Linked DNA regions of Canis lupus familiaris. The protein of the gene in region 2 purifies or fractionates together with the protein of the main gene of each other region. This does not show direct contact. Links are inferred from orthologs where the notes say so. Each region holds a gene or a part of one and is shown on either strand. Other genes may lie near its edges. The genes, in order: RNF114 and DTX3.

The links.
Region 1: the proteins of DTX3 (region 2) and RNF114 purify together in Homo sapiens (affinity purification with mass spectrometry; 3 studies listed by BioGRID and IntAct, counting the BioPlex papers as one, with this or other methods). This does not show direct contact. The link is inferred for Canis lupus familiaris from reciprocal best matches to the Homo sapiens genes DTX3 and RNF114.

What each region holds. Positions count from the first base shown.
Region 1 is NC_049245.1:37,087,930-37,098,759, reverse strand, and holds the start of RNF114 (E3 ubiquitin-protein ligase RNF114), read right to left. Parts: upstream 10,018-10,830; 5' UTR 9,974-10,017; coding exon 9,834-9,973; intron 5,231-9,833; coding exon 5,080-5,230; intron 2,885-5,079; coding exon 2,778-2,884; intron 2,416-2,777; coding exon 2,301-2,415; intron 1-2,300. UniProt on the Homo sapiens protein: E3 ubiquitin-protein ligase that promotes the ubiquitination of various substrates. In turn, participates in the regulation of many biological processes including cell cycle, apoptosis, osteoclastogenesis as well as innate or adaptive immunity.
Region 2 is NC_049231.1:2,032,219-2,043,755, reverse strand, and holds DTX3 (probable E3 ubiquitin-protein ligase DTX3), read right to left. Parts: upstream 7,342-11,537; 5' UTR 7,213-7,341; intron 6,875-7,212; exon of another isoform or gene 6,651-6,874; intron 6,624-6,650; exon of another isoform or gene 6,044-6,623; 5' UTR 5,982-6,043; exon of another isoform or gene 5,823-5,981; intron 5,817-5,822; exon of another isoform or gene 5,788-5,816; 5' UTR 5,741-5,787; coding exon 5,712-5,740; exon of another isoform or gene 5,360-5,711; coding exon of another isoform or gene 5,341-5,359; coding exon 4,605-5,340; exon of another isoform or gene 3,685-4,604; coding exon 3,467-3,684; exon of another isoform or gene 3,114-3,466; coding exon 3,038-3,113; 3' UTR 2,404-3,037; downstream 1-2,403. Other genes in the region: ARHGEF25 (rho guanine nucleotide exchange factor 25), read right to left, coding at 1,549-1,663, 1,908-2,006; PIP4K2C (phosphatidylinositol 5-phosphate 4-kinase type-2 gamma), read right to left, coding at 10,494-10,574, 10,769-10,872, 11,059-11,326. UniProt on the Homo sapiens protein: Regulator of Notch signaling, a signaling pathway involved in cell-cell communications that regulates a broad spectrum of cell-fate determinations.

The DNA.
Region 1 (10,830 bases), on a different chromosome or scaffold from region 2:
AGGGAAGTCTTACTTTGTGCTAGGCCCTAAGTTCAGTCCTCTCTATGGGTCTGAGGACACACGTAAGAGTCAGACTTGGAAAGCATCCTTCTCCTGAGTACAAAATGGAATGATAAGGACAAGGAAGAAGGGCTGCAAATTCAAGTGCTCACAGTGACCAGATTAGTAAGACACAAGAGCAAAGGAGAATGAGTATAAACCCATCCCATCTAGGTGGGCAGCAACTACTCTAGGCCAGCTGGCTCTTGCCTGAACTCCCAGTTTCTCAAATGTAGAGCATCAAGACTGAGAAATCTTCGGATTTTTAAAGATTAAAAAGGAAGTTAAAATGTGTACAGGTCAGATGTATCCCACAGACTGCCAGTCTGTAACCTCAGAGGTAGATCAGAGAGCAATGGAGACAGAAGGAGGAAGAAAGGAATTCACACCTGATATTCCGAAGTAAGTTAAAAGCAGGATTTAGTGTTACCTGTGGAAAGGTTGAGAACAGTTCATGCTCCGAATTTAATGCAAACAGTGCTCAGAACAGCCATCAGAGAGTGTGTGTGCCTAGCAGCAATAGGGCCTGGCTGAAAATGACCCACAATGAGCTAAACTGGCCAAGTTCCCCAGTGAGAGGAGTTGGGAAAAGCAAACCAGAGGGAATTTATCTGTCAAATCTGTCACAGCACAACAGTAAGAGCTCAGGGAGCTCAGTGTAAAAAGTGGCTGTATTAACCGGAATGTGGGCTTGGTAAGGAGTTCAATAAAGTCAAGAGAAGATCTAGGGTATTCTCAAACAGGCCACCTGTATCTTAAAATTTGCAGCAAAAGAAAAATAAAGAATGCCACCAGACCTAATCCAATTAACAAAAGCTCATGCAAATACTAAAGTCTATGCACCACCTTTTAAGCCAAGGGAGCTGACGTTTGCCTATAAATCTAGGTATACAGTCAAGAGAGCAGCCTAAAATAAATGGAAAAACTGAAAACTATGGAGGAGGTTGTATCAAGATCTAGCCTGTCAATGACATTAAGAGGGAAGGGGGCGCCTGGCTGGCTTAGTCAGTGGTGTGTGTGACTCTTGATCTTGGGGTTGTTCAGTTTAAGCCCTATGATGAACATAGGGCTTACTTGGGGAAAAAAAAAAAAAAAAAAAAGAGGAAAGGGTAATACTGCAGACATAGACCACATTAAAACAAAACCACATGCCAGTCTTGATACTTAAACTGAGAAGACTGATAAGCACTTTCTTAATCATTTCATACATTCTCTTTCCCCACAACTACAGACAAACTAGGGAAATGGTAGCTTTGCAGAGGACAAACTTTGTGGACACCAAGGGATCCAAGTTAACATAACCAATGACAGGGGCAACAGACATCCCATGACCCCTGATGTGGCACCCGGAGCACACATCGCTCATGGAACTTCTCCACCTCTAATGATGAAGAATCAGACACACCCAAATTGAAGGACATCTGACAAAACAACTGGCCTGTCCTCTTTATGTTAAAGTAATGAATGGCGAAGAAAGGCCGAGGGAGGGATCCCTGGGTGGCGCAGCGGTTTGGCACCTGCCTTTGGCCCAGGGCACGATCCTGGAGACCCAGGATCGAATCCCACGTCAGGCTCCCGGTGCATGGAGCCTGCTTCTCCCTCTGCCTGTGTCTCTGCCTCTCTCATTCTCTCTCTCTGTGACTATCATAAATTTAAAAAAAAAAAAAAAAAGAAAAGAAAAACAAAAGAAAGGCCGAGGTATAGAGACATGACAACTACATATAACACAAAGATCCAGGATTTGGGGGGAAGATATTGCAATGAAGGATATTCCAATATTAAAATTTCAAGGTATTCCACGCCCCCCCCCCTTTTTTTTTTTTTTTAAGTAATCTCTATGACCAATGCAGGGCTCAAACTCACGATTAGGAGTCCAAGATTAGGAGTCACATTCTATACTGACTGAGCCAGCCAGGCACCCCCTAAAATTGTTAAAATTTAAACACGTATTCTGTATTAAATATTAGATTCTGTCAATGTTACACTTCCTGAGTGTGACAAACACAAAAAATAAGATTTTTTTTTTACATGATTTTTTAAGAAAATGTTCTTGCTCTTAGGAGATACATGCTGAAGTATACAGGAGCAAAAAGTCATAGTACCTGCAATTTATCACTGCAACTTATCACTGCAAAAAATATGTACATATAGAGTATCATGAAGCAAATATGGTAAAATGTTATCATCTGTGAATCCAGGTGAAGGATACACAGGAGATCAGTGTATATAAAAGAAAATTTACAAAGTCCAGGTCATCTTACCACAGACTTGGTGTCCGTGCTGTGGCATAACTTGCAGTGCTCCACTAGTCCTTCCTGATCAAAGTTCTTCTCAGGACAGTAAGGGCAAGGAAAGGTGTAGCGATTGGGGACATTCCTGGAAGATGAAAGGCAGGAAAACAGAAGAAACCTGAGTACTTTTCCACATTTCGACTACTGTACTCCCCCAAAAAAGGAGCAAAGTGCAATGTGTTATGACAGGGATTCTGACAATCACTTCAGAATGAGATCAAATGTTGAAAATAATAGAGCTAATACTTGAAGTGAGCATCAGAGTCCTCCACACAACCCCCCACCCCACCCCACCCCTAACACAAAAACTGACATCAGCTGTAGCCAGAATAACAATTATACCTCTACTTCCCCAAACTCCTACAACTAAACCCTTCAACATGCAAAGTGTCCACTGTCTTCATAGCAAAGATGACCTCCACCTAAAGGAGTGTTTGAGTCATTTACCTTGGCTGAAGGGAGGCATCCTTGGTGGTGGCCTTCACACCTTCCATGATGTAATTCTGGTATTTGGAACAGGTAGCCACATGGGCCCGGATCTTGGATAGGAAGAACTTAGGAAGAATCAGAGCCCACAAGTTAGTCAGTACCAACACAGTCCCAAAGCAAGGTCAAAATGAAAACCAGACCTGAACCACTCTGGCAAACAATCTCACCAGACTCCTGGCTATGCTGACAGGGCTGAAAGCAAGTTTGTTGCAGGCTTTTTGTTAATACCAAGGCTGATAATCTTATTTAACCAACCCAGGACATCTGCTTCCACTCTAAAATAACTCTCCTAGAGGTTTGCTTTTATTCAAGGTATGCTCTCTGCTCACATACTCCAAATGCAGTGAAGGTTTAAAAGTTTTCCACACAGCATTCTAACTTGCTCCTCTAGGCAGTCCGGGTGGCTTAGCGGTTTAGCACCGCCTTCAGCCCAGGGTGTGATCCTGGAGACCCAGGATGGAGTCCCAGGTTGGGCTCCCTGCATGGAGCCTGCTTCTCCCTCTGCCTGTGTCTCTGCCTCTCTCTCTCTCTCTTTCTCTCATGAATGAATAAATAAAATCTTTAAAAAAAATTTTTAAAAATAAACTAGCTCCTCATAGTAAGCCAAGAACACATTTCATTATGTGCAGCAGTAAAAAAAAAAAAAAAAAAAAGTAATCATTTAAATAAAAGAGATAAACACCAGTAATTCTAATTAAAGTTACAGAATGCCACATTGTGATAAATGATCTTAAAAAAAAACTGAAATCTGAATTCCATTTCCCCTATAAAATCTAGTCCTTGCAAGATGGAAAGAGAAAGAAAACCTAGAGGAGAGTGCTTCATCGCAGGTGTTCTAAAAGCAAAGGAAAAGTATAAGGAATGAAGAAAGAGAAGAGGTAAAGGGAAGATAAGACATTTTTGGAGGTATAGTAGTACACCTGGAAATATAATACAATATAATAACTAATCTTTAAAAATGGAGAAAAATCAAAAGTATACAGAATAAAACAAAAAAATCCATCATGCATGTAGTACAAGGATAAAGTAACGGGTAATTTCATTTCAATATCCTGAGTTTCAAAATGAAAGGAAACCACAAGAAAAAAAAAGAAAGCTTCATTATTTGAGCTCCAGCTTACCATAATGCTCCCTTCTGTCTTACCTCTAGCTAAAGAACTTGACTTCAAGCTGCCAACCAAAGAGCTCCCAATTAAAAGGGATAGGAAACAGCCCTATTCAGAATGATAGTCACTCTGCAGCCCTAGTGCTAAATCACTCTGAAAGAAAGAAGGTAAAGTATATCCATTCTATGGCCATCCATACTAATATGTTAGTAATGAAACGGACAGGTTGTCTAGTAAGTCATTAAGTGAAAAAAATTTTTCAAAAGTGAGAAAAAGCTCTAGAACTAGAGTATGCTCCTATTTTGTAAAATTCCTACATCTGTGTTTGTCAAAGGGCAGAAAATATTTTGCAGCCTTCTAAACCCAATCACTTTTAAACAGGTAATCTCTGGAGTGGGAAACAAGCCTACAGTATTTCATATGCTTTACGGTCTGAAATGAACAGAATCATAATTTTGAAACCTGTAAGACTGTGTGTGTGTATAGCTTGGAAAACGAGATTGTAGTTTTTCTCCTTTATAATTATAATAGATGTTGAAATACACTTGATTCTAGCATGATTATACAAAAAAGCACGGGTGCATTTCGAATGTTAGGTATTGTTTTTACAATCACATAATTTCATCCTAATCTTTATGTCATGATTCCTCCCTGTCAAGTACTAAAAAATTCAAATATTTTTTATATCTATAATGATAAAGATTGTAAAATTTCCCCTCTAGCTCACTGCAGCAGGTGACTTCCTTTTTTTTTTTTTTGTTTTTGTTTTTGCAGCAGGTAACTTCGAGATGTTTATCTTATTTTACACTTAAAAAAATTAAGAAATAGCATTCTGTCATTACATTCTAATGGAAATTACACATACTGCTTTGGAAAAGTGGCTCTTTTATAGGGAAAAAACTAGGATAATGGACTTCTATGGTTTTCAAAGCTACAAGATATAATACACTAAACCAACTGTTAAAAGAACAAAGCAAAACCAATAAGGTCACTAAGATGAACCGGCACAGCCATTGCCACAGATAACTAGCATGCACACGTGCTGTAAGTCACCTAGTCATGCTCTAACTTCAGGAACAACGTGGCAACAGCTCTGCGTTTTACCCCCTCTCATTGCAGAAAGACACTGACTCTTCCATTTTACTTCCACATACATTTTTACGGCAGCCATGGCAAGAAGTCTCTGTGCTCTCAATCTGCCGCTCGAGCTCCGCGGCTCGGACGCCAGGTGCCAGAGCGCTGCGACACACCCCACAGACAGGCTTCTTCGGCTTCAGACATTCCTGCAGGCATGCAGAGCAAAAGCTAGAACAAGACATACAGAGAACCTGCGTCATGCATTGTGGAGACAAGACAACAAAAATGGATAAACTTTTAAAAAGACATCAATGAATAATGGATTATAAACATATTGCTCCCTGTTCCTGATTCAAATACTGAGTCTTCCCGTGCCAGGAAGGGGATGGGGGAGTGTCCTGCAAAGAACACACAGGTCCAACAACAGAAACAAACACAAACTATCATGATACACAGTGAAAAGGTTTTGTGGCACAGTCCTCAAACCTTAGCACCTGCCACTGAGGGATCTTGGTGGGGTTTCCTGAATCTCAGTTTCTCCTCTGTGAAATGGAGACAGTAGTAGCCACCTCTGGGATTACTGGAATGGAGTATGTTTAGCAGCCCCTCAGTACAGTGTTAAACACATATGAAATGCACCACAAATAGGAGGTGCTATATCATCAGAGGTGAATGTAAAACACTATGAGAAGACAGAGATAAGACCACCTAGTTGTGACCCAAGAAGGACAGTGCTGGTAGGACTTCAGAAGCAGCATTCACAAAACAGCCTTAAAAGAGCTCAGCTGGCAGAGGAAGGTAAAAGCATTCCAGGCACTTAGACTTAAAAATTCATGACGCACCTAAGGAAATAAAAGTCTAACATCTTTCCTCATGAATGGTAGGAACCCAGATGTTTAAAGATATCAACAAGGCCAAATCCAAGTTTTAGAAAAATAGCTGAGGTTATCATGGACAAGAGAGTTGTTGGTTTTCAAAAAATATTTTTAGGTGAGAAAAGACAGGAGCCTTGAAGTAGAAACCAAACAGATTGGCTAAGGCAAGGAATTCTTTTTTTTTTTTTTTTTTTAAAGGCAAGGAATTCTAAGGGCCTGAGGCAACAGAGAATTAACTCAGGAAATGATTCAGAATGGAGTCAGTAATACTTGGGAACTTACTAAATTTGGAGAAGGAAAGTCAAAAAAGGCCAAGTTTCTATCCTGAAACCTATGCAGGGAGTGATGCTGAGATAAGGTATACAGAAAGAAAGGACAATAAAGGGATGGAAACAGCCTGGCTACATACCTGACCTGGGATTTAAGGCAAGATAACAAAACTTGCCAGGAAGAACTCAGGATGTATAATCAAAGGTAACCTATGCCATCTGACAAATTTTTACCATATCTAAGTATTTTCTTCCTCTTTGTGATAAAGCTAGATGTTAACACTGCCACACAAAATAAAACAGGCTGGGAGAAATTGAGGGGCCCTAATGATTTACCACTGAGAGCAAAGTTGAGAAAGAAACAAAATCCCTGTCTTCCTAATGCTTGTATTCCAAAGTGGAGGGGAAAAAAAAAAAGTTAGTTTCTGATAGTGATTTAAGTATAGGAAGGAAATAGGGCAGCCCTGATGGCCCAGCGGTTTGGCGCCACCTTCAGCCTGGGGTGTGATCCTGGAGACCAGGGATCGAGTCCCACGTCGTCGGGCTCCCTGTCGGGCTCCCTGCGTGGAGCTTGCTTCTCCCTCTCCATGTGTCTCCGCCTCCCTCTCTCTGTCATGAATAAATAAAATAAAATATTTTTTAAAAAGTATAGGAAGGAAATAAAACAAGGCAAAGAGATCAGCCAAGGTGGATCATACTGAGCTTCTTTAAGGAGGCAATATTTGAGCTAAGACCTAAAACTCCGAGGAGACAGTCACACGAACTTGGACACAAAAAGTTCCACAAAGAGAGGATATACCAAGTACAAAGGGATTTCCAAAAAGCAGAAAGGAGGCCTTTGGGACCATGATATGAAGACCACTGGAAGATGTTAAGTGATTAGGCTGGACAGGTAGACAGGCTTGTGGCCATCATTTGACTTAACTATTCTCAAAGGCAGATCACAAGAAGAACCCAAGAGAGCAGAGGGTCCAGAGAAACCAATCCCAGCTGGTAGAAAAAAGCAGCTTCAAGCACACACCAGGACAATTCATTGACCAAATGTTCACGAGTCACTTTGTGCTCCAGTCATCCCCAACATGCAAGCCTGGTTTTAAAAAGTGCCTGTATCTTGGGCTGGCTTTCAGTTTCCCTTTCCTATTTCATAGGCCTTAATACAATTGAGCCTTTTAGGTGCTCCATCCTTTCTGCTACAGTGCTGTGTAAAGAGTTCCTTCTCTTGGGCTCCCAACACCTACCCCTCTCCAGCTATATTCTGCTAAACTGGAGGGACACAGTCATTCAGGGCTTAAAATAAAGTTTTATAAAAACTCAACACCCCAGCCAGCCAAAGTTACGATGCTGGTTTCTAAGCATAAAAGTTAGCAAAAATCTGCCACTAACTAGCCTGAGCAAAAAGCACTTGGCTGGAGCTAAGGGAGATTTGTGCTCCCTTCACAGAGCTGTATTCTTCTGTCTTCAATCAGCATCAAAATTGATGAACACGTGAAACTAGTGCGGTGAGTGCAGAAAGGAACCAAGTTTTGAAACCCAGTACTGCCCCTTGACCTCTGACCTAGGGAAGGTTCACGTGGCTCAAGGAAACTTCAACTTTTGCTGCTCTTCAGTTGGTAAACTGTGCTGAGTCAAGCCTCTTTATAACTATTGTGAATGAAATCCAGTGAATTAACACAAAATCAGGTAAAAGCAGTGAGGGGCTGATCCCAAGAAAAAAGGACTCAATAAAAACACTGTCTAGCCTTCACTTTAATGCTCATGAAATTTGTTTCCACCACCAATTTCTTAGTTCATTCATCCATTACCTGATCTCTCCCCCACAAACCAGTTTGATCCCTATGACCCTCCATTCCACACTGAATTTTCCCAGTAGTCTGAACATTTGTTAGTCTAATTATCACTTCACTGGCTTGTACACTTTGAGGGCAGAATCATCTTGTTTCTTACTGTGCCAAGACACTGGCACATGGTAAGCACACAAATACTTTAGTCAGTTGAATATAAGATTGGAAGATGGATGCTCAGACACTGCTGGGCAATGGGGATACAGAGAGGGGCAACACAGATAGGATCACTGCCCCTCATGATCCCTAAGTCTGGCTTTATGCAAGGAAGAAGGAAACCCCAGGAGTGAAGCAGGGAAGTAATTCGAGTAGGGATAGTGATAAGGGAGGTTAAGTTAAACTGGGACTTAAAGTCTGGAAAGGATTTGGGGTAGCTGGCAGGGGAGATGCAGGTGAGCAGGAAGAGTTCCAGGCTACCTGAACTCCAAGTGGGAACAGCCCAAAACTAGAAAAAGCTTAAGAGTACCTGAAGAAGCAAAAAGCACTCTGTGGCTGGGGAGCCCTTGCCAGGTGCCAAATTATTCTCTGGGCTGGCAAGGAGACACCTGCAGTTCATGTGGGAAGAGTTAGACAATAGTGAGCCTGACCTATGTGAGCCTCAGTTCCCTCACCTGCCATATGGCTGCCAACCCTCTTTCCCTGCAGTACTGCTGTAGGAGTAAGAATACCTGTGAGGCCCAGCAGGTGCCTATCTTGTCTACTCTCCAGTAAAGGTGTCCTAAAACCAATGCCAAGGTGATGCTGAAGATAATAAGCACTGCAGGAGACCACTGAGGAAATGCCAACCCCCCCAGTGGCAAGAAGTGACCACATTTTCTACAGTCCTCTCAACTGAGGTGTTGGCGTGTCTGATGGAGCAAGGCTTAGATTCAAATCCCAAGGGGGCGCCTGAGTGGCGCAGCGGTTGAGCGCCTTGCCTTCGGCCCAGGGCGTGATCCTGGAGACCAGGGATGGAGTCCCACGTCGGGCTCCCTGCATGGAGCCTGCTTCTCCCTCTGCCTGTGTCTCTCGTGAATAAATAAAAGCTTTAAAAAAAAAAAAAAAATCCCAACAACCTCGAGCACCTACCCCAGCCGAGGGTCTGTATTGGCAATTTTCACACACATCCCCTTCAGCCGTTGTGACCAGCGTATTAGCGGCATGCGGGCCAGGGAGGCTTAATTTCAAACAAAACGCAGCAAACCTCGGACACAAGCAGGAATGCTAACAATCGCTATCTGTGACTCCCAACCCCTTTCCGTTGATGGCAGCCTGGTGAGATTCTACCATCAAGACTTCCCTTTTGTTCTTTTAGTCTAGTTTTCGGCGTTTTTCCAACTTCAGTGCACATTCGAATTACTTGGCAGAACTGGACACCTGGCGCCATATACGTACCATGTACTTCGGAAGCAACGCTCAGGCTTTCAAGGGCAACGGTGGCTCTCCGAGGGCCGATTTTATATTTTTCGAGTGAACTCCACGCCCAAAGCGGGGCCCGAAATGACGACCTCCAGAACCGAGTCACATGCTCTACCTGAAGGAGCGAGCCAGGCGCCCCACCTGATCCCCGACAGGGTGCGACTTCCACTATCGCGGGTGAGGAGTCTCACAGGCCCCCTCACAGGAGGCGCTCACCAGACGACGCGCTACTTGGAAGCGAGCAGGACCGAGAAGCGCCCCGCCGACTTCCACGCGCCTTCAGGAGCCCCGTTGGGCCCCAGGAAGAGGCCCCTCTGGCCCGGTCCTCGCGCTTTCGCGCTTTCGCGCTTCCGCTCCGAGACCCTCCCCGCCCGGGCCGCGCCCCTCCCCATTCAGGTCTCCCCCACCTCACCCCCCACCTCCGACCAGGCCCTGGCTCGCCGCTTACACGTGACCGCAGGGCACTTGCACGGGCTTCTCGTACACTTCTAAGCACACGGGACACGTGAAGCGGCCCAGCGGGTCGGACTCCGCTGCGGGCCCAGCCCGTTGCGCACAACCCTCACGCTCCTGCTGTTGCGCCGCCATCTTGCTGCCGCGCCGAGCGGCGCAACGGCGGCCGAGAAGGAGGAGCCCGAGGGGGTGGGGCCGAGGCCGCGGGCTGGCGCGCGCTCGGGGCGGGGCTTGCGCCCGCCGGGGCGGGGCTAAGGCGGGACCTTGCGCGGCGAGGGACGCTCGGGGCGGGGCTTATGGAAAGGACGCGCGGCTGGGGAGGGGCTTGTGGGCGGGCCACGCCCCCTGCCCCTCCCCCTCACCACCCCCGACGGACGGGAGGGAGGGAGGGGGGGGGCGCGAGGCCGCGGGAAATCTGGAAAATGTGGAAGTCAGATCCAGACACCTGCAGAATTGGAACAGGCTTTGTGTTTCAACTGCTGTTTCCTCAATTTATTTTTTTTTTTTTTTTTTTTTTTTTTTTTTAAAGATTTTATTTATTTATTCATGATAGTCACACAGAGAGAGACAGAGAGGCAGAGACACAGGTAGAGGGAGAAGCAGGCTCCATGCAGGGAGCCTGACGTGGGATTCGATCCCGGGTCTCCAGGATCACGCCCCGGGCCAAAGGCAGGCGCCAAACCGCTGCGCCACCCAGGGATCCCTGTTTCCTCAATTTAAATCATTACTGTTACTTGAGATTTCACCCCACATCGAGTTGCCTTTTCTTTAAATTTAGGCAAACAAATCTCATTAAAAAAATTTTTTTTTTAAAGGAAATTTTAAAGGGAGATCTGTCATCACTCCTGAACTATGATAAGAAAATAATCACTTATTTCTAAGAGCATTGTAAACACAAAGTAGAAACAAGACAGCCTTATTAACGCATGCCGGATACCGTTGACACTGAAAAAGGAGATTAGCCATTACTAGAGGTGTTGAAGACAGGCTAT
Region 2 (11,537 bases):
GCCCAGGGGATTGTGGATGGATTGTTCTCATACCCTGTTGACTACAAGACAGAGAGAAGAGTTTCCTGCCCCTTCCCCAAATTTTTTAACTTGAACAGATAAAAAATTTGCAGGCAGAAGGGATCTTGGAGGTCTACTAAGTCACTTTCCTGGAAAACGCAGGTACAAGTCTCCAGCCTCTCAATCCCTGGCGCCAGGTCGACCTGCGGCCCTGAACCCTCGGCCCGCCCCCGCTCAACGCTGGGCCCTCCGACCTCTCACTCACCACGACCCCCCCGGGCGAAGCAGCAGCCGCATTTTGCCAGCACTTTTCGGATCACGTGGGGACAGGCACAGCGACCCCCCTTGTGCCCCCCCCGCATGGCGCCCGGGCCCCCCCGCACCCCCCGCCCGGGCCGGCCATGCAGGGGGAATCACGGGGGGCGGGGGGACGGCGCAGGGCGCACACCCCCCTCCCTCCTAGCCCGCTCCAGGCTGGGGGAGGGGGCAGGGAGGGAACCGGGAGGGGGTGTCCAGGGGTAGGCGGAAGCCGGGGCTGGGGGGCGCCGGGGCCCCGGGGAGCGGGCGGCGCGGGGCCGGGCGGCGAGCGCGGCGGGGAGGGTTTCCGGAACCCAGGCGGTGCGGGGCCCGGGGTCCAGCGGTCCGGCGGGGCGGGGCGGGGCGGGGCGGGGCCGGGCTGCGGCGGCCGCTCCAGCCCCGGCTCCGGCCCCTCGGGCTTGGCGGGGCTCTAGGCCCGGGCTGGGAGGGGCGGGGGCCGGCTCCCCGGGTCCCGGGCGCTGCGCGGGTCCCGGCCGAGCGGCGAGCCGAATAACAGGCCGGGCCGCGGTGCCGCCGCGGGGAGGGGCCTCTGCGGCCCGGCTCCGCCCTCTGCCTCCGGTTCCCCCTCCAGCCTGCGCCGGGCTCCGGCCCCAATCCCCCTCCCGCAGGCACCGCCGCGTTCCCACTCCACGTCCCCACCGCCTCCGCCTCCCCTCTCCAGCCTCGGCTCCCCGCCCCGTCCCCCTCCCTCCCCTCTCGGGCTCCCGACTGCGGAGAGCCGGGTGGGGGCGAGCCGGGCGGCGGGGTCTGCCCAGGTCGCCCCTCCGCCTCGGCGGTGGAGAGGGCTGCGGATGGATGGGCCCGGGCCCGCGGGGAGACGTGCTGGGGGCTGGGACTGTCCCCAGCCCGGCAGGGGTGGACAAGCCCCCCCCCCCCCGCCATTCGGGGAGCGGGAATGGGGAGCTCTGCGGGGAACACGGCCCAGGTGCCGCCCTCCCGCCAGACCCTGCTCCCCTCCAGGCCCCGGGACTCTGGCTGAGGCTAATCACCAATTAAGGCGAAGTCCCGGCGGCCGGGCTGGCGGGGGGCCAGGGGTGGGGCGCGGGGACACAGCCGCGGGATCGGGTGATGTGGGGGCCACACAGGACTAGGGGGCGAGAAGCGTGGAGCGCTCGGCACTTAGATGGGTCCCGCGCAGTTTGGATGCAAACCTTCACGCGAGCAAGGGCGGCATTACTTGAATTGGGCGCAGGGCGGTAGCTGGGCCCCACCCCGCCCCCAGCTTCTTACCGGGCAGCGGCGCCCAGGCGGGGACCCCACGCTGGCGCTCCCCCTTCTGATCACCCTCGGGACAGTCCGACTCTGTCTCGGTCCCTCCCGGCCCTAGGGGGCCTCTGCTCGGGGGCTGTGGGCAAGACTGGTGGTAGGGAACCTCCCTCCGCACCCGGCCTCGACCTCCCGCGTCGCCCTCCTCCTGTCAAATCCACATTGTTGTAAAAGGGTCGCCTAGGCCGGGCTGCAGGGAGCCGTTCGCCCAGACCCAGGCCCCGAACTCCCGGGGTGCGGCGACCGGGTAAACTGAGCTGTGGGGTGCAGACCTCCTGAGGCCCCCTAAAGGTTCCCGACTCCACCGTGGTCCCCTTTCTTACCCCCTCCGGCCCTGGGAGGGCGCATGCGCGCAGCATGCCCCCCATGACCCCCAGGATCCGGTCCGTGCGGCCAGGGGCGGGGCGGTCCGGGGGCTTCATGCTGGACCCCTACCCTGCTCCAAGTTTCAGGGCCGAGGGGGCACGGAAGCTGGGGGGCTCTCGGCCTGCGTGCGTCCGGGGAGTTGCAGCTGTGGAATCCGCCCCCTGCCCGGCTCCGCCCCCACTCCCACCCCAGCCAAACTTCTCAAAGGGGTAGGGTTGTTCCTTTCTCTACCACAACCCAAGTTCCACGACGAGCCAACCCCCCCGTAGTCCCGATTCCGACGTGGATGCGTCGGGAGCCCACTGAGCACTTGCCGTGTCCCAGGCTCTCTGGAGGCCGGGACTGGGGAGACGCGCGGGGATTTACCCGATCACCACCCCTTCCCCTTCTCAGCGGGTTCCGCTCCCCACCCCACCCCCACCCGGGGCCACAGAACAGAACGGGTGTGGCAGAGAGAGTTGCATATTTTACTTTATTTTTATTAAATTAAAAGCTACAGTCTGGCGGCGATTCCAGAACAGGGTAAGGAGGCTCCTTATAGGGGGCAGAGAAGAGCAGGAGACGGACTGACGGACTGACGGAGACAGAGACACAGGAGAGAAAGGACCCGTTAAGGTGGAAGGGGGACTGGTTCTGAGAAACACACAGGGCCGGCTCCGGGGGATGGGGGGGCTCACCTCAGCCCCACTGCCCCTCCCCCATGCCGAAGCTCAGCAGTAGAGCAGGGGGCTCGAGAGACCTTCCCTCCCCACCCAGGTCCTTTCTCAGCTTAGTCACTGGAGCACAGCACATACCAGAAAAAGCCAAGGGCAAAGGAGGGGGTAGGGAGACTGGGAGTATGTACATGGGGAGGTGGGGAGCAGAGCCTGGGAGATCCCCCTCCCAGAAGGGAGCGGCTCTCACTGCACAGAAGCACTTGGCCTGGGGGAGGGGACAGGGGAAGGGATTGCCCCCTCCCTCTCTGAACTCCTTCCCCAGTCAGACTGGTCCCCTGTTTGTGTGGTGTGGGGGGGGCAGAGGGAGAGAGAACAGAGGCTTCCGCTGGGTCCTATGGAGAAAGGCAAGGGCTTGGCAGAGGGGAAGTCCTTCAGTCGTCTGTGATACCCTTGGCTCTCAGCTCCTCTTGCACCCGGGTCAGGTAGGTGGGGTCCGGGTACCCAAACCTGGGAGCAAAGAGAGACGAAGGTCAGGATTAGCCATTCCAGCTGACTCATCTTAGCCTCATGCTCTCCCTCATTCTGGGGGCCCAGTTCCAGCCGCTCCCCACTTCCCCTGAGCATAGCCAATCCTGAGATAACTTAGCCCACTTCTGCTTATTTCTGTAGGTTAAGCTGGGCATATTGGGCCAGGTGGAATGTAGAGACGCTGGGATGGAAGAGATGGCTGGGATAGTTTGGGGGTGGTCCTCTCTAGTTAGGAGGCTCTAGGAGAGAGGGGGTTGCTGTCATTCCCTGGAGTGAAAATAGAGAGAAGGGGAGGAGCCAAGGGAGGGAAAGGAAATGAAGGAGGGTCGCACAGCTGGGGTCCTCCTGTGCAGCTGGTCTTGTGGTGAATGTCGTTCCAGGTGATGACATTCGGTCTCCCTGTGGTCATGGACGTGCCGATAGTGAAGGTGAGACGCTGGTCAAATGCCTTGCGGAACAGGGTCAGCACCTTGTTGCCCTCGGGGCAGTCCGGGAGGTAGGCCACCCGTGTGGTGCCAGGGTACCGAACTCCTGGGTTTGGGTGTTCAGCCTGGGACGAAGGGGAAGCAGAGAGGACAGTGAGCAGCTGGGCACGTGAAGGCCCGTGATGCCAACCGAGGGTCATCCTGGTCCACTGGCCGCCTAATGCTGATGGGGCAGCAACGGGCCGACAGCCTTTCAAGGAGGGAGAGACTTCCTTGAAAGGTTTGGACAGCAGGAGCCCATTTTTGGACAAAATCCTTACTACTAAGGAAGTTCCTTCTGCTGCCTCAATCTCTCAAGTCTCAGTTCAGCAACAAATGGATTCTCAAAAGTGATGGCAAGCCGCTCGCTCGTCCTCACCCACCAGATAAGTCAGCAGAAATGTGAAGACTGAGAATAATCTCTCTCTGTCTTCCCCTCTCCACCTGAAAACACTCCCAGCGCTTCTAAGCCTGCCTAGCCCGGGCCACTTTCCCATTACTCTCCTTCAGAGCTTCCTCAGCCCTCTGCAAACCAGGCCTGGAAATTACCCTTGCATGGTCAAGCAGGAGACACCTAGAGGCTCTCGACCACTCCTGGTTTAACCTCCCACTGTCAACAAGATTTTCCTCTCAGCAGTCTGGAACAAAGCAGCACTCACTGCTCTGTGAAGAGGGTCAGATCCCTTCCCGCTAGGCCTGCCTGCACCTGAGCCACCTTCTCCACAGAATTCACCTCTGCCAAGAATAGCTGTCGTCATCCATCCAAGTTCACCGAGGCAAGAGCCTTTCTCTCCTACCTGAGTTTCATATGTGCCGTGGAGTCGTGGGCTAGAAAAGCTGGGCCTGAAGGTGGGGGGACCAGCTAGCTCCAGGGCACCGGGTGCGAAGGCATGCTGGGAGGCGGCAAGACTACATCACATCTAACAAACACACTCCCCTTCACCCAGGTTTCCTAGGTCAGAGAACACGCTTGGGGAAAACCGAAGGGCACGGCAGGTCTTCTTACCCCCTGGACACCGGGCGGGAAGACGTACTGGATGACAATGGTGCCATACTTCTCATAGCTGGGCAGTAGGAGCGTGGCGTCCTTAGAGACCAGCATGCGCCCATTCTGGGGCTGGTTGCCCACCAGCTGCCCATAGAAGCGGCCACACATGGGACAAGCCTTTTTCACCTGCAGGGCCCGGGTGATGCAGCCCTCACAGAACGAGTGCCGGCACTTCTCCAAGGTCTTGGCGTTCTGGATCTCCCCCAGACAGATGGGGCAGGTGCTCTCCTGCTCCTCAGCCTCCTCCCGAAGGCGGGGAGGAAGTGGAGGGGGGAGGGGAGGAGGAGGAGGGGGAAGCCCCCGAGCCCCTGGGGGCAGGAGCGGGGCTGCTCGCAGAGGGGGAGGGGGTGGCCCTGGGCGGTGCAGCTCAGGGTGCTCCCCGCCACCCCCCAAAGCCAGGCAGCCCATAAGCTCGCCCTGCCTCTGAGCTTTTTTCAGCTCTTTCTCGGCCTCTTTTAGCAGCCCCTTGAGCGCCTTCCGGGCCAGGTAGAGCCCGTTGGGGGGTGCCGGGGGAGGACCCTGCGGGGATAGCTGCAGGACGTAGATGTCAGAAGTTTCGCCATCGATGAGGATGGACACGCGGTGCTCCTCCCGAAGCCGGGCCAGCCGGGCTGGGGTCTCCTTGCTCAGGAAGTCCCACACAGGCTTGGAGACAGTCACTTTATTCTTGCAGGTGCCTCCACAGGCTGCCATTCTGGACAGGACGAACGACACTGCCCCCAGGGTGAAAGGGACTCAGGGTGGGGGGTCCCCATTTGACAAAATCCGTGCCTACTACCTCAGGTTGCTTTCAGGCCCTTTATCACCTCTACTGTCCCACAGTCCAACCCCTGACTCCTAGCCACCCCAGCTGATTTTCTGTCTCAGAGCTCTTATCTTTCAAATCCTAGCACCCACTAAAGAGCAAGAAAGTTTCTATGACTTTATTATTATCATCGTCTGGGCCAAGCAGCAGTCTTGGTTCTGTTTCCACTCCTCCCAAGATCACAGAAACAATCTGGCCCTCCTCCCTCTGGGGGGGGGGGGACCAGCTTCTTTAAAGGGGAGGGAGACTTTTTTGCTCACTTTGATCCTGAACAGCTTAGAATTGGCATGCAGGCTCGCTCCACTGTCCCTGCTTCCTACTTGTCAGCTGTGGGACCTGGTGGGTGGAAGGGAAAAGAAGGGAAGGTGAGATACCCCCCTACCCACTTTCCTCATGCTCCAACCCAGCAGCCCAGGTAACAGAAGACTGGGAACCCGGGTGTAAGTTACTGGGAATGGGATTACTTGGCACATGGAATGGAGGAAACCAATTTAAAGGCGAAAGCTGAGTTCCCCTTGGGAGGCAGATACCTGGAAAGCCCATGGACGGGAGCAGTAGAAATCCCTCTATTGCCACACTCAGCTGACTAGGACTGGGGGGAGCGGGGAGAGTAGAAAGGAAAGGGTTATGATGACAAAGGTGACCGGCCCCCCTCACCCCCACTCCGCCAGCAGCCCAGAAACAAAACAAAAACTCCTCTTCCATTTCCTCTCCTTCTCTCCTGCAGAGCTGCATCCCCAGCCTCTCCCAAGTTGCTAAAGATGGAACTTCAGCAAGCTAACTTTCCTCTTCTCCTCCCCAGCTCTGAGGCTCTCAAGAAGGCCTAGGGCGCAGATGAGAGAAGTCAGGAAGGGAAAAGCCCCCCCCCCCCCCACGGAGGTCTTTCTTGCCACCTGCCTCGGATCACACGGGTGAGAAGCTTTCCTACGCTCCCCAAGTCCTCACCCTGCCCCACGTCCCCCCACAATTCAGCCCCCGTCGCTAGGGAGCCTTCCTTGCGGGCCAGCCCAGGGTCCCTTCTGCGGAAGTCTGTTTGGAGGCGGGCAAAGTGGCAACAGCCCCTAAGTAACGAGGTTCTTGCTGTCGCCTTTGTAACCCCGCGCCTGGAGCAGTAAGGCCGGCAGCGACCGGGTCTGCAGGCGGGAGGGTGCGGCTCCGCGGGGCTCGGCTGGAGGAGCCGGGGCTCCCCCGAGTCTTACCGGGTGCGGCTACAGAGCTGTCCCTACAACGCCTCCAAAGGTGGCTCAAATAGAAGAGGGGCCGCCAGTGTGGCCTCAACTCCTGGACTGACCCCAAGGGGAGCGGCTGTGCGGCTCCATCCCAGTCCCCTCCGGGCCAGAGGCACCTCGAGGCCCAGAGGGTGAGGCTGCGGCCCCGGAACCTCCGCTCGTCCTGCGCATCCAAGGCCGCGGGGCCCGGGACCTCGGGGTCCTGGCTCGGTCCCGCCGGCTCGGGAGCGGGGGCGGGCGGGGCGGGCGGGGCGGGCGCTGGGCCGCGACCCCGCGGGGCGGGGGGCGGGGGGCGCGGGCGCGGGCGCGGGCGGGGGCGCGGGCTGCTCGGCGGCGGCCCGGACCCGCGAGGCGCGGAAGCAGGCCCGCGTCGGCCTGTCGCCCGGTCGGGGCCCGCGGGCGGGGAGCCTGCCGCGGGGGCGCCGCCCGCCAGCCCGGGTGCGGGCCGCGGCGCGGGGGGCGCGGGGCCGGCGGGGGGCGGGCGGGGGGCGCGGGCGCGGGCGCGGGGGTGTGGGGCGCCGGGCTCACCTACCTCCCGTCAGCGCCGCCATTGCCGGTCACATGACTGAGGCTGTTGCCGGGATGACGGTCGGGGCCTTAGCAACAAGGGGGGGCGGCCCGGGGGGCGGGGGGCTCCGCCGAGGGTGCGGGCCGGCGCGAGGGCGGCCCCGGGGCGGCGGGGGGCGGGCGCTGCGCCCCGGGACGGGGACGGGACGGGGCGGGGGCGGAGCGCGGGCCGCGGCGGGGAGGGGCGCGGGGGCGGGGGCGGGGGCGCGGGGGCGGGCGCGGCCTGGGTCCGCTCCCCTCCCGGGCCCCCCTCGGCCCTCGCGGCGGGGCGCCTTCCGCGGGGGGGGCGGGGGCGCGGAGCCCGGTGCGGCCTGGGTCGCTGCCCGCCCTCGGCCCTTGCAGCGGGCTGCGGGTGCCTTCCGCGGGGGGGGGGGGGGGGGGGGGCGGTTCTCTGTGATCCGCCTGCTGCTGCTAGAAGCGCCGAGGAACAATCTAGGACCGGCAGAGCCACAGTAAGGAAAGCCCTGGTCCTGGAGGAGGAGAACCACCCCCACGCCCACACTATTTCCATCCCTTCCCGGGGCGCTCGCCTTCTCCTAGGTTGTGACCTTCTGTGACCCCCGCAACCTGCCCGCAGGCGGGGCTGGGTGAGCGCCTCCGACTTTCCTTTCCACCCACAGGGATCCTGAGGCTAGTGCAGAATGGGAAGGGAATACAGGCCTCAAAAAAATGCCTTGGGGGGGATGGGGATGGGGGTGAGGGTGGGGGTGGGGGTGCGAAGTCTCTGGTACAAGTAGAGTTAAAAACGCTCCAAGAACAAACAGCTCTGCTCTGCTCTGCTCTGCTTCCCACATCAGAGCGCTCTCCGCCCCCGGGCCAGCTCACTTCCCTGGGGCCACATCAAGCCAGGTTTTTCCACCAGCCAAAGGCCTCCTCAGCCAAACAGCACTGGATCTCCCAGGCTGGCAGCAGCCTCTATTTATCCACCCCTCTCTTCACTCCCTCCCTGGGCTGGAGGGCTGGTCGCTTTCTCCACTTTCCCAGGACCCTGCTGTACTCTTCCTACTCTCCAAACAACAGGACATCTTTCCCAGGAAGCCTAGGGGGAACACCCCGTTCTTCTTTTAGCTCCTGTGAGCAAGTACAAGTGAGGGAGCGTGCTCTGAGGCTCACTCACCTTTACAGGAGTGACTGTGTCATCAGGCCCAGAACTCCGGGGGGGAAGAGGGAGCACCCCATCAGCCCTTCTCCCTGGCCCCCCCATACGTGGACTCTGACAGAGCTGGAGAGTAAGTTTTCCATTGCCATGCACACCCCTCACCACCTTTTAACTAGAAACCCACATCCTTAATTAGGGGCCCCACATTTTAAAGATGGGTAATTCTTCATCTGGTCTCTGCACCCCTAAGCACAGGGTTCCTCAGAAAAGAGGGGGGGAGGAGGCATGTCTGTGAAGGAATATGGATTCAATAATTTATTTCCTATACAGTGACAGCGATGGGAGTAAATACACAAGATCTTTATTAATTAATAAAACAAAAAAGATGAAAAACAGAAGCAACAAAACGAAGACCATTCTGCTCATGATACATCAGCCACATGGTCAGAAAACCAATTTCTAAAGAGCAACAGCTGCTGGTGTCATGGAGTTTTATTGCATTCAAAAGGGGAAGGTAGATGGTTGGAATGAAAAAGATCAGCAGGCCCCTGATGGGAAGATATTATAGGGGCTCTAATTCTTAACTGTGGACTCGTCTTGTTACTTCCTTTGGAGAAGATGAAGGGGAGAGAGAAATTCTCCTTTATGACTGTATGACTTCCTGTGAGACAGATCAGTCCAGCTAGATACAGAGCAAAGAATCTTTGCATCCCCACAGGCCAGTTGCAGGTGCCCATCTTTATGTTTTAAAAAAGTGCAGAAGCCATAAAGGGGATGGAGGGTAGCAAGAATGGCTGCCTTAGCCCCAAAGGTATCAGGGGGTGGGGAGGACACTATCTGGGCCCTCAGGGTCCTCTACACTCTGAGACTACCACTTGTCATTTCAACTCTTGGGAGGGGGCCAGTGATTGAGTTATGGCTCTGACTCCTCTCTGGGGGTGGAGAGTGAAGATGACAAAGAAGTCCATCTGTCCCCTGGGAGACATAGTAGCAGTATAAGACAGAAAAGAACAGAATAACACATCCAACTGGAAAAAGGGCTTGAGAAGGGGTTGGGAAGGAAGTATGCTAGGTGCACATCTCCAAGGAGTAGAGGAGGTTCCCGCACTTGAGACGTTCCATCCTCTTGAAATGACCAGGATGGACCCAGGTAGAGATATTTCCTCCTGCTGGGGATAAAACCTCAGAGATGGCTACACGTGAAGAAAGGAAATTTAGCATTGGGAGTGAACCTTACACCCTGGCCCATCATCCCAGCCTCCAAAACTGCCCCCACCCTCGTCCCCCGCTGAAGGGTTCCAGCCTTGGGAGGTGTGGAAGGTCCTGGTGAAGAGCAGCAGCAGTCAAACATCTTCACCCAGGCTTGAACGGTTTGGCCATCTCTGGGTTCTTGTGCCCAGAAGTACAGGGGCAGGGGTTGGAAGTAGGGTGAGGGAAGAGTTTGGAGAGTAGTAGTCAATTCTTGACAGACACCTTTTCCAATTCCCTGAATAATTTCAAGAGTCCTCCTGGGTCCCACCTCTGTAAGGCACCAGCTGGCTCGCCGCTCCCCACCCCATTAGTGTGTAAAATGGGCCATAACCCATCATATGTGTGCATGCCAGCACCCACACCTGTAGTATCTTAAAAGTCCTCCATCCCAGGGTCTACCGGGAAGGAGGCATGCCACAGTGAGTTCTATAAAGTTATCAGCAAAATTCAGACATTCTTAGTTCATCCCACACAGCAAAATGCATCCAGAGTAGTTGCTTGAGCCAGGTCCATCCGTCCAGTCAGTTCCTGAAGATGGCAAGTAATCCCCTTCCCCCATCTCCTCCTATGTTCTAGAAACAACAGGACATTTACAAAGATCAAGGCACTTGGGAGTGAGTCAACAGTAACACTCTAATGAAGCAAGCAGAATTGCTGGAAGGGAGGGAGAAATGGAAGAAAAGTGGGCGGGTGGGGAGGGGGGGACAGGACAGTGTATTTCTGAGGGTCAGGAAAAGCCTAGTCAACAAGATGGAGTTGTGTGGGTAGAAGGAGCCTGTAGCTGGAATTTAACAAAAGAGGAAGAGAAGTAGTAGTGGTCAACATATCCACAGCTCCCCAAGCCTCTCGGAACCCTGCCACCTTGAACATAAAGCAGCACGGAGTCTGGTAGTCTCTTAGGCAAAAATGTTGGTAATAAAATCCAGGAACCGCTTAGCATACTGCTCAGGATGGACAGTGGAGATCTCTGCCCCAGCCTGCGAGAGGAGGTAGGAACACAGCGTCAGGCACCCCACCACCCCATCCCACTCCGCAGCCTCCAGTCCTCCCCACACCACTTCCGCACCCAGCCCTTCCCAGCCCTTCGTCCTTTTGCCACCCCATTGCTCCCGTACAAAAGGCTCCCTCTGTTCCCAGTCAAAAGATAGGAAAGGATTTGGGGAGCCCTCACCCCGTGCTTGACAGTTTTGGCTGCGTGAGCTGCTTTCTTCTTGGCATCATACTGTGTCAGGATGTCAATGAGGCCCATGAAATACACCTCCTTCTGGGGGGCCCCTGGGGAAAGAAAGCGAGGAAGAGCAAGTATAGTCCCAATTCCCTCTTCCCAAGAACCAGTCAGATCTGTTTTGAAAAGCTAACTGGCCTCTCTCCCACCACCCTGGCTGGTCTCAGTCCCCTCACTCCCCCAAGGCCAACCCTCCCCACCACCAACACCCTTAATATTTCCAGGATTTCTCTCACCCTCAGCACTCCGGATGGCATAGACGTCAATGAGGGACTCAAATTCTCCAGGGCCCAGGGGCCGGTGAGAATGGATGTAGCCGCCAATACCCTCAGGGGAGGTGCCATAGGAGCCCACCAGAGCAGGTGGCCCTGTCAGGTCACAGTCTCCATCCCCCTCTGACTCCTCCTCCCGCACAGGTCCCTCCTCCTCTGGGTCAGAGCCCCGAACGATGTCGTGGATGCCCAGCAGAAGGCTGTAGTCCATGATCTTCAGCTGCACTAGGAACTGAGACCCCACTGACAAATCAGATACCTCAGATCTCCTTCCCTGCTCCCAGCACCACACCACCCTTATACCTCCCCTCTGAGCTTCAGGGGCCCTCCTGGGGAAAGGAAGGATGAAAATCAAGGGTTGGGAGTATACCACTGCCCTTTAGTACATCAATGTCCTGGTACCTGAGGTCATCCTTTTAGTCAATTCTAGCCATCCCCTCCAT